Oryzias latipes: one gene and its partner. The protein of the gene in region 1 purifies or fractionates together with the protein of each later gene. This does not show direct contact. Links are inferred from orthologs where the notes say so. Each region holds a gene or a part of one and is shown on either strand. Other genes may lie near its edges.

Region 1 (8,519 bases):
TACAATTTTCCTGTAATAAAGGGTGAAAATGAGTCCTTCTCTAAAGTTACTATAAACTGAGTTTAGTTTAGTTTTCAGTAGTATTTTATTAGTTTAGTACTATATAAAATATGAAAGTGTTTTTTATTTGTTTTTTTTTGGTCTGAGTGATCAGAAAGATGTTATTAAAATTCAGCAAACAGTTGAAAAACAATTCTTCTTCCAGGCAACCCAATCTACTGTAACTGTTACTTAAAGCCTCTCAAAGAGTGGGCGACCGCCAAAGGTGTGAAGCTGCTGGGCGCCTGCACTGAACCCCCACATCTGTCTGAGGAGCTGCTGCAGGAAGTGACCTCTTCGGATCTACGCTGTCATGGTGGGAGTCAAAGCCTGGGTGAGAAGGAGGAAGAGGAGGAGCAGAATAAGGAGGAAAACAAAGGAAACATCACAGCCACAGCCAAGCCCAAGCAGAGAGTCAAATGTCCTTCTAACTGTAAATGTGATGTAAGTTGTTTTTTTTTTCTCAGAATAACCTCTTGACAGTTTAATCATTTTACAAATACGTTTTTTCTTTTTTTATATTTGACTCATAGATTGAAACACATCATGCTACATGTGAAGGCCAGGGTCACACCAAAGTTCCCAGAGGCTTCCCAGCAAAGACGCAGCTCCTTGAACTCCGTGGAAACCACTTCCACTACCTTCCAGCCCTCAGCTTTCCAGGCACTGGGAAATTAGTTTCTCTTCACTTAGAGTCGTGTGGAATCCATGAAATTGAAGGTGGTGCCTTCCAGGGAATGAACAGCCTGCTTTATTTGTATCTCTCTGACAACAACCTCACATTGTTGGATCCAAAGATCTTTGCTGGAATCCAAAATCTCACCTATCTCCACCTGGAAGGGAACCAGCTGACACAGTTCCCTGGATCCGGTCAGTGTGAGCTCACTTTAAGTATTTTGTTACTACAGATAAAGAGAACTGACTGACATTCTGCTTCTGTGTCTCCTAACAGCTCTCTCTCTTTTACCAAATTTGTTTGTGTTACACCTGGAGCGTAACAATATTTCCAAACTAGAGCCTTCCGGTTTGCTATCTTCTGTAACTCCCACTGAACTGTCCTTGAGTAATAACAGCACAAATGTGATGGCCAGAGGTGCTCTCACCTCTGCTTCCATTGGATGTCTTTACCTGGATTCCAACCGGCTGACTGAGGTGCCGACTTCCGCTCTAACCAAAACCCCAAACTTGGAGGAGCTCAGCTTATCTCAAAATCCTATTTTGAGGGTTGGACGAAAGGCATTCCAGCCCATATCCCAAAGTCTGAAAAGGCTTTATATGGATCATATGGGAATGGAAAAGGTAGGAGATTCTAGTTCTCCAAGATCCTCTTTCATCCAAATGGAGTATTTGATTCAATCTTTAATTTTTCCAATTAGTTCATTTTAGACTGTGTGATTGGTTGGTATTTTGAATTTTTCCAGATGTCTGAAGATGCATTGCAGGACCTGGGCTCAGCTCTTAGACATCTGACTGTGAGGGGAAACCAGCTGAAGGAGCTGCCTGACCTGAGACCACTTACAGGCCTGGAAGGGGTGGACCTGCGAGACAACCCTCTGCTGTGCGACTGTGCTTTGCTGCCCCTACGCAGGTCAGTGAGGGTCCTTACCAGGGTGCTGGAATCAGAAAAGGGGAGTTTTCAACAATTATCAGAGCCCACAAATGTAACATTGTACGGTCAGTAAGCTCACATAACTTTTTTTGTGTTTTTGTGTACTATCTTTGTGTTTCAGGTGGATGGAGAGTGTGAGATTTGAAGTTACAGCGACTTGCGGTAACCCTCCTGACCTCAGAGGTCAGCAAGTCAGAGACATTAATGTCTTCGCATCCTGCTCAGAAAACGCCTCCATTAAGCAGGAGGGCAGCAGGGAGCCGAAACTTTCTACAATAACCAAACCAGGTTCTTTGAAGCCCCCCAAAGTGAAAACTAGACCTGCGAAGTCGAAACTAAGCAAATCATCTAAGAAAAGGTTACAAAAAAAATCTGGGACTCCAAAAAAGACCATGAACAAGATGGCATTATAATAAAATGAATCATGTTTTGGTGGTTTCTTTACAAAGAGTTTTGTTTGGGAAAAAGTTCAACTTTTTTGTTTTTTTATTAAAACTGCTTCATACAACATGTTGTGTGCACTATCTTCATATTTTGTAGGCAAAGCTACTCTAAACAACAGAATACAACTTTTCAAAAAATATTAAAAGTCACAAAATATATAAGTTTATTGATCCTGTTGGCCTCCTGTCCGGCCTTCGCGGATTCGGATGGTTCAGGACGTCCAAAAATGAAATGTGCAGTTGGGGAAACGAAAAGACACAAGAGTTTGCATGAATTCTCAAACCTTTTGCAAAAACGGAGAGTTGGAAAAACATGACCTGTTAGGCTCTGTGGCTGTCCGCTCTCTCTGTCCTCAAGGCAAAAAGGCGTTTTTTATTATTAAGTAAGGGAAGATGAAAACATACAAAATACGTCAGTAGAATGGTGTGTTTCTGTCTAGTCTGCATTGCAGCTGTTATGGCTCCATAAACACTCCAGTACAGAAAGAAAGCAGAGACTGCAAGTCAAAAACAGGCCTACTGGTGACCTCGTCACATATTATCTGCTACTGAGGGCAGGAATCAAGCATATTTGTGCAGTACAATATACATGCAAAAATAGAATCCATTATAATAACAAGAAAATACAACATATAATAGAACCCCTGTAATGCATATTTAAAAGAACATAGAAAATATTATGGAACCCCTGTTCACCTCAACAATCGTCAAACATTAAAGTGTCTGTCAATTATTTTATTTTCAAATAATAAATAGCACGGAACACAAAAAGTAGGCCTGTAAGTTAACTTAGCATTAAATCATTTACGGCAGGATGCTAATAATTTTTAAAACCCGTTATATTCACCGTTTTGATGAATGAAGAAGTTCCTGTTTTTAAATTTTTCTTTTTAAAGAAATTGTTAAGCTGCAAAAATGTAGTTAACCTGTTTAGTAGATAGAATTCTAACAATATTCGAATTGAACGTGTGATCGGTGTCTTGATGGTACCTTAATAATTCTTGGCTGTGGCTTCAACATGGTTCCATGGTGTAATGGTTAGCACTCTGGACTCTGAATCCAGCGATCCGAGTTCAAATCTCGGTGGGACCTGAGATTTTTCTTCCACCCTCGTCTATGGAATCACTTACTATCTTCTTTAAAGTTGTGCTTATTTATTAATTAATTTATTTAATTTTTAAATGAAATTCATGTTTTGGTTGTTATTTTATTTCGTCTTTCCCGTCTCAGTCGGTTAAGTTAATGAACTTAACCGACTGAGACTGTTGCTACATCCGGACGGCTTTGTACAGACGACGTTTCAAGATGGCAGCAGCGATGGACGTTGACACACCGAGTGGTGCTAACAGTGGCTCAAGCAAGAAACGCTTCGAAGTTAAAAAGGTCTGATTTTATTTATTACCTGGTCAACTCTGGATTGGTCAAACACGTTTGCTATATAAAAGAAGAACAAAGGAGCCCTGTCTGTTTTAACCTCCTCTAGCTGGTTAACGACTCCTATTAGCATGTTCGATGTTGCCTAGCATAAAGTTAGCTTGCTTAACGAAAATGAATGTGCATTTCTAAATAATGTCATAACTTAGACCATGTTGTGATATTTACAAGATTACCTTCAGTCGAGCGTAACAGAAAAACAGCGTTTTTGAAATGGTAACGAGAGCTATAATCTTAATTCTTTTAATATTTGTTTTATTTTTGTGCTATTCGGATGCTAATTTAGCTTAGCATAAAGCTGAGGTTTCAAGATCTAGCAGCACATCATCTTTTTCTCTAATTTTAAATTTTTGTTCGTGTATTTCACATGTTAACCGATTTCTTTAGATTATTGCTATAAAGTTTTATATATATATATATATATATATATATATATATATATATATATATATATATATATATATATATATATATATATATTCCCTTAAAAGTGCTTATCTGATTTGTGCACCTGACAGGTGCAATTTGATATATTTATCTTTACTGTAAAAGGAAGCACTAAATCTTTCCTGTCAACTATTTTTAAAATGGGGGGAAAAAAAGTGTCATGATGACCAAAAACAAGAAAATAATTCAGGAACATGTTCTTTATATCAGCCATGTCTATCAAAAATGGCAGGAAGGAAATGCTAATATTTTTGATTTCCCTAAAATGTTTTAACATTCCGATCAGTGGACATGTTTAACAACTATATTTTGTTTTCTTTTTGTAATTCCAGTTGCTTATTTCTTTCGATCCTTTCCATTCAAAGTATTACAAGACATTATGCTAGATATGGTTAAAAAAAAGTCTGGAAACGTTGGAACGTTCTAAAACATTTAACTGGTGTATATAATCCTGGGTAACATAGATTAAACATGTGCTCATCTGATTGTTCTGTCCCCCTCAGTGGAATGCTGTGGCGCTGTGGGCCTGGGACATTGTTGTGGATAACTGCGCCATCTGTAGAAACCACATCATGGATCTCTGTGAGTTCACTTTAATGCATTCTCTGATAGCTTCCTGTCTTCATTTTGACTTCAAACTTTTAGCAGAATGAGTACTTCTAAGCTTCTACAAGCCCTTCTTCTCCCAACAAGTTTAGATTTCTGTGACACGTTGCATGTTTTCTTGATCAGGCATAGAATGTCAAGCCAACCAAGCATCTGCAACCTCAGAGGAATGCACAGTAGCCTGGGGGGTCTGCAATGTAAGTTTCCAATTAAATTGATGGAAGACTCAGATTATCTGTGTGTTTTCTGGAAGATGAAATGATGGATACCAATATGAGCATTTAGAGCTAAAGCCCTTAACATTTCTAATTTCTTTTTCACCTGTTTGTCTTCTTTTAGCATGCATTCCATTTCCATTGTATTTCCCGCTGGTTGAAAACCAGACAAGTGTGTCCCCTTGATAACAGAGAGTGGGAGTTTCAGAAGTAAGTTTGATTGATGTCATGTAGTTTTATTGATTACATTTCTGAAAGTACGATTTTCTTTAAAGTTGTTGCTTTAGACATTGCTAAGCTGTTTGTCATGTTTTCACAGATATGGACATTGAGTCGGCCTGCCGCTCACTTCCTGCAAGAATCAATTTCACTGCTTCTTCAATCCCAGCGGCTTGTATTATTTTCCACACTTTTGTTTTAGTATGTTGTAATTAAATGGTGAGCTTGTAAGGTAAAAAGTTTGAAATAATAAATGGAAAAAAACTGGGAATTAACCTTTCATTTGTGTTTTTGTTTTTTTAATACAGTTGACTTTAAATCACATTGATGTTGACAGCGCAGTAACCCTCTTTAAGGACACGAATCTTCAGTGTAAATTAAATCACCACCAAAATGTTTGACTTCTCTTTACCATAGTTTATTGTGGAAGCTGTTAGAAAAATGAGTTTCATCTATTTGTTAAATTCCACACATGACAGAATACTTCCTAAAGACCCACTCTGATGAAAATCTTGTTTTCTGGTGTTTTCAACGTGCTCTAGTGCCTTTTTCTGATGAAGGGCATAAAAGAAAACTAAGCTCAAATTTACGTTCCAAAAATAACCTGCGATTAAAAAAAAAAAAAAGATTCCAATGAAAAATATCCACACAGACTGAAACGTAAACTGCGATAGTCAATGAGCGGTAATTCTATATTCAGATGAAAAAAAGAGCTTTGTGATGAGATTCATGTGGTGGGCAACAAGCGCCCCGCTTTACAACGGGGAGGGGATGGGGCGGGTTTGCTCCATGCCAACACTCCCGCCCACAACTCGGAGGTAAATTTCTAATGAACTGCTGCTGCTCTGCAGAAGCTGGCATGGATTAGGCATCATGAAAAGTTTTCACTTTAATAGAAGACAACCGTTAAAAGCTAGGGAATTTGACAGTTAAAGTACATTTATCAGTGCAAGTAGAAAAGAGGATTAAAGCTGTTTTCCATCAACATTTTTATTGTGAACTTTTCAACAGGAATATTAAAGTTATTTGCAGTTAGCCTTTCACAACAGCATGTACCAGCACCCACGCTTTGGAGTGCGGCCTCACAACCAGGAATTTCCTACTGAGTGTAGAATGGCTCTAGAAAGAGGCGTTGGTTCCATGCAGGAACTGTCCGAGCTGCTGTCGCAGGTTAAATCACAGCCGCGACCCATCAGAGAGGAGGGAGGGGCTTAGCTAAATACCAGGACTGACCCATAACCATCTGTTTGATTTGTTGATGTTGCTAACAAACTGAGGAAGATTTAAAAAAAAAAAAGAAACCAGTGAAAAACACTTTCCATCTTTCTGTTACATTTGCATCACTTTGACCTGCTCCCCTGATAGAACTAAACACACTGAGAAAATGTTGAAAAGCTTAATTTCACTCGCTCCTCCAAACATCATCTCCGTTTTGGTCCAGTCCACTTCTATGGCTGGGGGGGGGCTCCGAACTTGGAACTCAGCTTGGAAGCGAGAGCCATGATTTTGGGGTTGTTCTGATACTTGGAGATGTTTGCCGGATTCTGAGCCACATCCTGGAAGGCGGCCATCACCTCAGGGTCCTGGAGTCAGAAAGAAGTCAACCTCACTGGAGTGTTTCAGGAGTCACAAAAACTGAGCAGAAAACAGCTGCAGTTTTAATTTTCTCAGACTCTCCGTCAGTGTATTTTTAATACAAAGTTTAAATTGTGTTTCCTGTGTTTTGCACATTTATGGAACTAAGGCTTTTCCTTGGGGGAATGTGATAGAATTGGTTCATCTTAAGTTACCTTCATGGCGTTGAGCACCTCAGGATCCTTCAGGAGGTCACCAAGACCGGGCATACCTGCTGGACCTCCGCCTGGGAATCCGGCAGCACCTGGAACATCAAGGAGATTTAAATACTCCAGCACAGTTACGTCCAATCGACTGGATTGTAGGATGGAGGAGGAGCCTATCCACTGGATTGAAGAGGCTTGTAAGAATGGCAAAGATGTTGAATCGCTTTTGATTTTCAAAGGAATCACAGTGAGAGCATCAGGCGTGCAGAAAAACACGGCCACTGCATGACATTACTTCTAATTTACAGATATAGACTGGCAAAACCAACAACTGAACGCCGTTTAACACCATTCTACCTAAATAATAATCAATCGTTATAGTAATTTTCCCGATATTTATTTAATAAATGTCCTACCTAACCGTATTCGTTTTCCTTGTTTGATCATTCAGAAATCATAGCCAAATAAAATCCAAATAATGATCGCTTTGTGCAATGGGTTTGAGGTTTGAGCTGCTAAAGTTAAAGTTGCTTGAATTTCAGTCTTCACAAAATCATTGAAAACAGAGAAATGAAGGACAAATTCAGCTCGTCGTACAATAAAGTAAAACCAATTACTGTTACTACCCTTAAAATATCCCTTAATACAACAACTAAAATTTGCCTTAAAATATGTGCAAATAAATTCAGCCTAAATATAAACCGTTAGAATAATATCTGCTCAAATGAAACGTCGATATTTTCAATAGAACCTGAAATATTTGAGGATTACTTAAATTTGTATTTTGATTTGTGAATGACAGAGCGGAAACAGTTAGGTAGGACATTTAACATAAATATAACATTTTCCATTACGATAAGTAAGTTGTATCATTTAAGTAGAATGGTCAGTTTTCCTGGTCTATATCTGTAAACCGGAGGTAACATTACACAATGGCGGAGATATAGTGTTTTATGATGAGGTCATCCAATGTTTCACTTTTAAATGAGATTATCCTATTAGTTAATGTGAGATCAGAAATGACAGCATGCAGGACGGACAGGTAATCTGACCTGGGAAACCTCCTGCTCCGGCTCCAAAATGTCGGGATTCCTCTTCCTGCAGAAACACAGAAAAGGCAGTGAGGGGCGGACCTTTTCCCTCCAAAAGCGAAGAGGAATCCAGAAGAGCTCACCCTCTGAGCACGGGCGTGCTCCTCTCTGGCCTTCTTTATGCGCTCCTGCCGGTCCTTGATCTCCCTCTCCTCCCTCTTGCGCTCATATTTGCGCCTGTGCTCGATGATTTTGTTCGCCTGTCAAAATAATCTTTCAGACTTCGGTCTCTCTCTGCTGTCTTTGAATGCTTTCATAGAGCTGATACCTTCGGCTGGACCTCCTTCAGCATTGCACTGGCGTCCTCGTCATAATCCAGTTTGCAGGCGGTGGCCAAGTCTTTGGCTGCTTCTTCCCAATGACCAAGAAGCCTGCAGCAGAAGACAACATGAGGTTCAGCATAAACACTAAACGTTCTGTCATTCTGCTGGACAACAATTGAATCAGAGCGTAAAGAACGTCTTCTAAAAGTAGTTCAAGTGAAGAAAATACGATGATCAACAGTTTAAAACACTTTTTTATATTTTACACCCTCATTTCGGCCTAAGTCTTCCTTGGAAAAGAAATCTTATCTTAATGGCATTTCCTGGTAAAATAAAAGGTTAAATAAAAATGAAAAAAAATTACAAAATGAG
Region 2 (8,014 bases), on another chromosome or scaffold:
GCGCAGTGGTAGGGGAGCTGGTGCTGAGAGTGATAGGTGAGGTGCAGAATCGAGGCTGGAAAATGGACCTAAGGACAGGGCGGCACAGATTCTCGAGCTCCTCTTTCCTCGCACAAGCCTCGCCTCCCACAGTGTGGTGGGTATAGCCATCTGGGGGCTGCCTGTTCCGGTCCCAGCCCATCACTCGAACCAGCTCTGAGATCAAATTGGCCATCGCCATGGTGAAATCAAACTCTTTCTGGAGGCGGACAAGGTCCATCTGGTGGACAGAGGTGGAGGACGTGGCGGGGGAGGGGCTCGGGTCTTGCCTTTCAGAGCTCGACTCTGTTCCTGCAGTGTTGAGTTTGTCCATCAGGGACGTAACGCACAGGTAACGCTTCACCAAGGAAAATAGCAACTTCCCAGGAATCTGTAAGAACAAAACAAAACCGCACATGTTGAACATAATAAGGACAAGTTTGAGTATGGATGGGTAACTGACAGGATTTGTTTCTGTGCTGGTGGTCAACTGGTAGTTTTGAAACATTTCTGATGCCTAAATGGTTCTTGAACCAGCGCTTAGAAAAGTAAAAAATGCCATTTTTTTCCTAAAGCCTTTAAAGTGTGATGAAGCAGCGCGACAGGGTGGAGAGCACTTGAATGCGCGTAAGATCCTTTTTATTTTCTTCTTTCTGACAGTGCACTGCTGCATCTCCGTTTTCACACACGCTGAAGTTAACATGCATTTCCCCGCTCACTGCCACAACGGCAGCCTTTTTTAAGAGCATTGTACACGTCACTGAATTAATCTTTTGTAGTGAAGTTCAGCCAAACCTTTGCTTTCTTTGCCTTCAGCATTTTGACAGGGTTAAGTGAAGTGATATATTTAGAGATCAATCAGTTGAACTATCGAATCTAGCCACAGGGGTAGCAAGCCAGTTACTTCTGTGCCGGTCCCAAGCCCGGATAAATAGAGAGGGTTGCGTCAGGAAGGGCATCCGGCGTAAAAATTGCCAAAATAACCATGCGAATCATCCACAACACTTTAGACATGCCGGATCGGTCGATGCCCGGGTTAACAACGACCGCCACCGATGCTGTTAACCTACAGGGTGTCGGTGGAAATTTGACTACTGTTGGTCGAAGAAAGAGGGGAGGCAGAAGGGTCCGTGGCCAGAGAGAGAAGGGAAATGGCAGGAACATAGGTTTGAGAATAGGGACTCTTAACGTTGGCACAATGACAGGGAAAGGCAGAGAGCTGGCAGACATGATGGAGGGAAGGAAGGTGGATGTACTGTGTGTGCAGGAGACAAGGTGGAAGGGCAGCAAGGCACGTAGTATTGGAGGAGGATACAAACTGTTCTATCATGGTGTTGATAGGAAGAGAAACGGGGTAGGAGTGATTCTGAAGGGGGAGTTTGTAAACAGTGTTCTAGAGGTGAAAAGAGTCTCAGACAGGATGATGAGCCTAAAGTTAGAAATTGAAGGGGTGATGGTGAATGTAGACAGTGGGTATGCGCCACAGGTTGGCTGTGAGTTAGAAGTGAAGGAGAGATTCTGGAGTGAGTTGGATGAGGTCATAGAGAGTATCCCAAGAGGAGAGAGAGTTGTTATTGGAGCAGACTTTAATGGGCATGTTGGTGAGGGCAATAGAGGTGATGAGGAGGTGATGGGCAGGTTTGGTGTGAAGGAAAGGAATCTGGAGGGACAGATGGTAGTGGACTTTGCAAAGAGGATGGAAATGGCTGTAGTCAACACTTACTTCCAGAAGAGAGAGGAACATAGAGTGACATACAGAAGTGGAGGTAGGAGTACTCAGGTGGACTACATCCTATGTAGACAAGGTCATTTGAGAGAGGTTAATGACTGCAAAGTGGTGGTAGGAGAGAGTGTAGCCAGACAGCACCGCATGGTGGTGTGTAAGATGACTCTGGAGGTCAGGAAGAAGAAGAGAGGGAAAACAGAAAAGACGACCAAGTGGTGGAAGCTGCAGAATGAAGAAACTTGTGAGGAATTTAGGCAGAAGTTGAGACAGGTCCTGGGTGGTCAGGATGAGCTTCCAGATGACTGGGAAACTACAGCAGAGATTATCAGGGAAACAGGTAGGAAGATGCTAGGTGTGTCATCTGGAAAGAGGAAAGACGGTAAAGACACTTGGTGGTGGAATGAGGAAGTACAGGAATGCGTCCAGAGGAAGAGGTTGGCTAAAAGGAAGTGGGATGTAGAAAGGACTGAGGAAGGTAGACAGGAGTACAAGGAAGCGCAGCGTAAAGTGAAGAGAGAGGTGGCAAAGGCCAAACAGAAAGCTTATGATGAGCTTTATGACAGGTTAGACACAAAGGAAGGAGAGAAGGACTTGTACAGGCTAGCCAGACAGAGAGACAGAGATGGGAAGGACGTGCAACAGATAAGGGTGATAAAGGACAGAGATGGAAAGGTGCTAACAACCCAGGAGAGTGTACAGAAAAGATGGAAGGAGTATTTTGAGGAGCTGATGAACGAGGAAAATGACAGGGAAAGAAGGGAGGAAGATGTGGTTGTTGTGGAGTAGGAAGTAGCAGAGATTGGAAAGGATGAGGTTAGGAAGGCTCTGAAAAGGATGAAGAGCGGAAAGGCCGTTGGTCCTGATGACGTACCTGTGGAGGTATGGAAGTGCTTAGGAGAGACAGCAGTGGAATTTCTAACGAGTTTGTTCAATAGGATTTTAGAGAGTGAGAAGATGCCTGAGGAATGGAGGAGAAGCGTTCTGGTCCCGATCTTTAAGAACAAGGGTGACACGCAGAACTGCAGCAACTATAGAGGAATAAAGTTGATGAGCCACACAATGAAGCTGTGGGAAAGAGTAGTGGAAGCCAGGCTTAGGAAGAAGGTGGAGATCTGTGAGCAGCAGTATGGTTTCATGCCCCGTAAGAGCACCACTTATGCCAGTTTTGCTTTGAGAATGTTGATGGAAAAGTACAGAGAAGGTCAGAAGGAGCTGCATTGTGTGTTCGTAGATTTAGAGAAGGCGTATGACAGGGTGCCGAGGGAGGAGCTGTGGTACTGTATGAGGTCGTCTGGAGTGGCAGAGAAGTATGTCAGAGTAGTTCAGGACATGTATGAGAGAAGTATGACGGTGGTGAGATGTGTTGTAGGTCAGACAGAGGAGTTCAAGGTGGAGGTGGGACTACACCAAGAATCAGCTTTGAGTCCTTTTTTGTTTGCTATGCTGATGGACAGGCTGACAGACGAGGTAAGACAGGAATCTCCCTGGACAATGATGTTTGCGGATGACATTGTAATTTGCAGTGAGAGTAGAGAGCAGGTGGAGGAACAGCTAGAGAGGTGGAGGTTTGCTCTGGAAAGAAGAGGCATGAAGGTCAGTCGTAGTAAGACAGAATACATGTGTCTGAACGAGAGGGATCAAGGTAGAAGCGTTAGGTTACAGGGGACTTAGGTGAAGAAGGTGCAGGAGTTTAAGTACTTGGGGTCAACAGTTCAGTGTGATGGGGAGTGTGGAAAAGAGGTGAAGAGGCGAGTGCAGGCAGGTTGGAGCGGTTGGAGGAAAGTGTCAGGAGTGTTGTGTGACAGAAGAGTGCCAGCAAGACTCAAAGGAAAGGTGTACAAGACAGTGGTGAGACCAGCTCTGCTCTATGGGTTAGAGACGGTAGCAGTGAGACAGAGACAAGAGGCTGAGATGGAGGTAGCGGAGATGAAGATGTTGAGGTTCTCCTTAGGAGTGACCAGGTTAGACAGGATAAGGAACGAGTACATCAGACGGACGGCTCATGTTGCCTGTGTTAGCGACAAAGTCAGAGAAGCCAGACTGAGATGGTTCAGAGGAGGGATAGTGGATATATTGGTAGAAGGATGTTGGAGATGGAGCTGCCTGGCAGGAGGGCAAGAGGACGGCCAAAGAGGAGATATATGGATGTCTTAACAGAGGACATGAAGTTGGCTAATGTTAGGGTAGAAGATGTTCATGATAGAGTGAGGTGGAAAACGATGATTCGCTGTGGCGACCCCTGATGGGAAAAGCCGAAAGAGAAAGAAGAATCAGTTGAACTATCTATAATAATTGATTAAGCAATTTTTTATTATAATTATAGGGCAATGATGTGAAATAAAAAGGTCCATATTCTATCTGTTGTCCAAGGTTGGTATGCCATCTTCTGTTGCCTGATTGACAGGCATCCTTCTGGATTTAACAGAGTTTATAAGATCTCTTTGTTGTAATGTCTACAGACTTAGTTTATTGTCCTTCTGAGCTGTTATCAGGAAAGTTGAGGTCAAGTTGTCTCTCTGCTGAAAATCAGGTCACAATGTTGACTTTTAGAGATCTCAGGCGCCATTTTTCTTGAATTGATATTTGGCTCTTTGATTTATTACTGTAGTTGTGAACTGAATTGTTTCTTAGAACCTGTCTGGCACCGTGCACTATGGAGGGAAGGTTGTCAGATGGCGCACGTCAGATAGCAGGTTGGTGCTAAAATACAACAATGGGCGATTATCATGAAAAGAGGCTCAACTACTGAGACACTACTCAGAAAATGTTGAAAAAGAAGAAAAGAAGCTTTAACAATTTAACATTGGAGCCGTCGCCAGCAACACCTTAATGACCAGGCTCTCTGACCTACTATAGGTACTCGACTGTTTATGCGATCAACGTGAATCAGCTGATTTTGACGTGGAGAGAATTGGCTTTTCATTTCGGCTTGCCCCGATATGCAACACATTATTAATGTAAAGTGTTGCATAACGGCACGAAGCAACTTTTCCCCGCAACAGCATTAGCTGAACTACACCGATCACATTAGCACTTTACTTCCGTATAAAGTTGCATATCAATGCAAAGCTGCTTTTCTGAGTTCCAGTAGTCAAAAGAATGTAAAAAAGGCTTAAATATGTGTTATATCTAGCATTAAGAATGTTCTTTTCTTTTTCTTTTTTAATAGACTCCAACAGCTAATATTGATTGGTTGTTTTTGCTGATAAACTTTGAAGCAGTGATGCAGCATCTTAATTGATGTATAAAGATGACATGGTAATAATTAACATTATTAGCCTTAATTTCAACATTGTTAAGAAATTGAAATTTAGGTTCATAAATTTTATTCACAGTTTAATGTTCTTTATAAAATACTAGTCAAAACTTCATATTCCTGTCCAAATAAAAAGCTTGATCCCTTTTTCAAATGTTTATTGCTGTTAAAAATCAAATGACACATTGGAGGTTGTCCCTGCGGCGGACCAACACATTAGAACTGATTCATTTGTGTGCGTGTGTGTGTGTGTGGGGGGGGTTGTTATGAGACTGACAGTGTGTACCTGAGGCAGGTGCACCCCCTCAAAGGAGATGCCGTGCTCCTCAGATGACGTGGTCTCAGCGAACAGCTCCAGCAGAGTAAAGCGGTTGTCAAAGTCCATGTGCTGTTCAATGCCGTCCTGCTGACTGAGGGACAGCAGCACGTAGGCCCGGCTGCCTGCAGGAGAAAGGGAACGTGTCAACACCATCCATCACGACCCAGTTCTTCAGAGGACTCGCACCCTTGTGATGCTGTTGCCGAGGCAATGCAGATACACACACACCTGTTCTTTTCTGGAAGACCTGAACATTCAAATTGTTTGTTTACTTAGCATTCACAGGCTAGTTGGTTGTGAACAAAATTGACGACACAGCTGGAGCCCCAGGTTTGAAAGTGTGTTTGCTTCATTTAGAGATGATCAGCCAGAAGGACTGACCCCTGCCTCATCATATAATCAATTCATTCCTGCTTTGTTCATCTTTGAATGTCAATCAGTTCTCCAGATTTTTTTTATTGTGTCTGTCAGGAATTTAAAGTTCATCATTGAAGCATGCACATAAAGAAAAAACAAACAAACATTAAAACCACCCAAGCTCAGACAGAAGGTACTGAACCCTGAGATCCAGACGGAAGACCAGGATTTTCCAGCAGCTCCTCCTCTCCATTGAGATCATTTGTCCAAGATCAGCCCACCTCTTCCTGACAGCTGAAACCTTTCCAGAATATACTGCTTTGATTGGGTCTCAGATCGCTTTCAGCTGGACAACATTCGCTGTACTTCCCGTTTCCACGACAACGTTACTTCCCGTCCTATGGAGTTGCAGCAGTGAAAGACATGACCTGCAGCTGCTGGACATCTGAGGCCTTCTGTGGGCTTTAAGTATGAGTAACTGATGAAGCACTAAACCACAACCCCTGCCTTAGTCATTCAGTTAAAAAAAGGAACATCTTTTATATGAGACTAAAACTATTGCCAAAGCTTACACAGCTCCACCCCGTTTCATTCACAGCTCCACCCCATTTCATTCACAGCTCCACCTAAAGTTTTGCTAAAAGCTGTAATAGCTTTATTTGTTGCTCCCCCCGCAGTTCCCCCCTGAAATGTCCCTCACAGCTCGATCCACACCTTCACCTGTTGTTCCAGGTAAACATTTCCAACACACTAACTTTTAGAGAAAAGAATTAAGATTTTACAATTCTACATTCTGACAGAAAGTGTGGTCCAGCCACAAAACTCAAACATGCACACTCACACTTCCTCAGTGTTCTCCAAGTGAAAGTTTTGCATAACCCTGTAAGCATGTGACACAGACTGAGTTAGAGTTGAAGCATGCACAGCTGCCGGATAAAGACAGACCTCCCTGTGAGGCTCCACATATAGTGCATCACCATCACAACAGAGCAGCACTTCTGCAGGACCAAAACCAAACCCAGACCCCCAGAGAGGTCGTCTCCCTGCTGCGCTGTATGTAGCAGGACAGTTCTTACCTGCGTCATGTGAAGCAAGCGCCCGCAGCATCTTGCCAGCGCTGCGGCGCGTCTGTGTCTCTTTGTTGCACAGCAGCTCCATCAGCAGGTTGAGGGCACCAGTCTCCTTAAAGACGCCGACGAGTGAACCGATGCTGGCGTAGGCACTCAGCACGTGGATGGTGTGCATGATGTTGATGGAGAAGTCGCTCTTTTTGGCCATCTGCTTCCTGGCCCGACAGACCAGGTTCTTAACGTCCTCCTCCATGTCAGACAGCTCCACCTCATCAAAGGTCACGTCTGTTGGGAACTCGCCCCCACTGCTTTGGCCTCCATCCGCCACTGCTCCACCTTGCTGATTCTCCTGCTGCTGCAGGGGGCGTTGTGAATCTGTCTTTCTTTTGCCCAGGAGGGTGGGGCAGTTGGCGTAGACGTCCTCCGTGGTCATCCACATCAAGATGTTTTCTGGCTTCGTTTCTCCAGATGTGGAGCTGCCAGACCCACCCACCGCCGAGCTGCTGCTGCCTGTACCACCCACCTCCCCGACGCCCCCACCCGAGCTGGAACCATTATCCGTGGAGACGAGGCTCCAGCGAATTAGGTATTCCGTCTGACCATCGTGGGTGCGGCGTTGACGAATCAGCTCCTCTGGATACGCCTGAAGTCGGGGGCCGAGTTGGACCAGCAAATTTCCATTGCAGCGTTCACCCACCATGGTTGCTATGGAGATAAGGAACTCATTTATGAAAGTCAGCAGGAGACACATCAGAAGAGAGAAAAAAAAAGAGAGACATAAGAACGCATCAGAACAGAGGACTCTTTGACCCGGTTCGGGGTCAGATCCATGCAGACACCACTTTAAAATCTAAGCTGATGTAACCCTGAATAAGGGCAAAACTTCGCAACACCGTAAGAAGTGCGGGTCAGGCGCCGTCTGTCTACTACTGGCCCCGTTTGGATTAAGTAATGAGAAATACTGGTCAGGGCATCGCAAACCTGTCGGCGCGCACAGAGCAGAGCTCACATCTGGCTCACCTTTTCAACAACAAAGGACAGCGCGTGACACAAACTTCGAGAGTAATTGGCCGTTGGCCTTGAACGGTGCAGACTAGACTCCAGGAAATAGTCTGTTCCCGGTTTTTCTTTTTTTTGTGGTGGTGGAGTGCGAGTGTGTGTGTATATACAAGTGGGGGGGTAGCAACAGTTAATTTTTGCGGCATCGTGCCGTGGGTTTTTGGAGGAAACGAACACGTCCTCGCCTTCTTGACATGACATGCTAGCTA

What was found.
Region 2: the proteins of rbx1 (region 1) and cul9 purify together in Homo sapiens (affinity purification with mass spectrometry; 5 studies listed by BioGRID and IntAct, with this or other methods). This does not show direct contact. The link is inferred for Oryzias latipes from reciprocal best matches to the Homo sapiens genes RBX1 and CUL9.

Annotation. Positions count from the first base shown.
Region 1 is NC_019866.2:19,406,395-19,414,913, reverse strand, and holds rbx1 (E3 ubiquitin-protein ligase RBX1), read left to right. Parts: upstream 1-3,160; 5' UTR 3,161-3,396; coding exon 3,397-3,474; intron 3,475-4,475; coding exon 4,476-4,554; intron 4,555-4,704; coding exon 4,705-4,775; intron 4,776-4,917; coding exon 4,918-5,003; intron 5,004-5,112; coding exon 5,113-5,125; 3' UTR 5,126-5,290; downstream 5,291-8,519. Other genes in the region: chondroadherin-like protein, read left to right, coding at 206-483, 573-909, 992-1,338, 1,461-1,627, 1,770-2,061; st13 (hsc70-interacting protein), read right to left, coding at 6,461-6,595, 6,803-6,891, 7,846-7,891, 7,968-8,084, 8,153-8,255. UniProt on the Homo sapiens protein: E3 ubiquitin ligase component of multiple cullin-RING-based E3 ubiquitin-protein ligase (CRLs) complexes which mediate the ubiquitination and subsequent proteasomal degradation of target proteins, including proteins involved in cell cycle progression, signal transduction, transcription and transcription-coupled nucleotide excision repair.
Region 2 is NC_019873.2:12,800,013-12,808,026, reverse strand, and holds part of cul9 (cullin-9), read right to left. Parts: intron 7,452-8,014; coding exon 6,753-7,451; intron 5,442-6,752; coding exon 5,287-5,441; intron 410-5,286; coding exon 1-409. UniProt on the Homo sapiens protein: Core component of a Cul9-RING ubiquitin-protein ligase complex composed of CUL9 and RBX1. The CUL9-RBX1 complex mediates ubiquitination and subsequent degradation of BIRC5 and is required to maintain microtubule dynamics and genome integrity.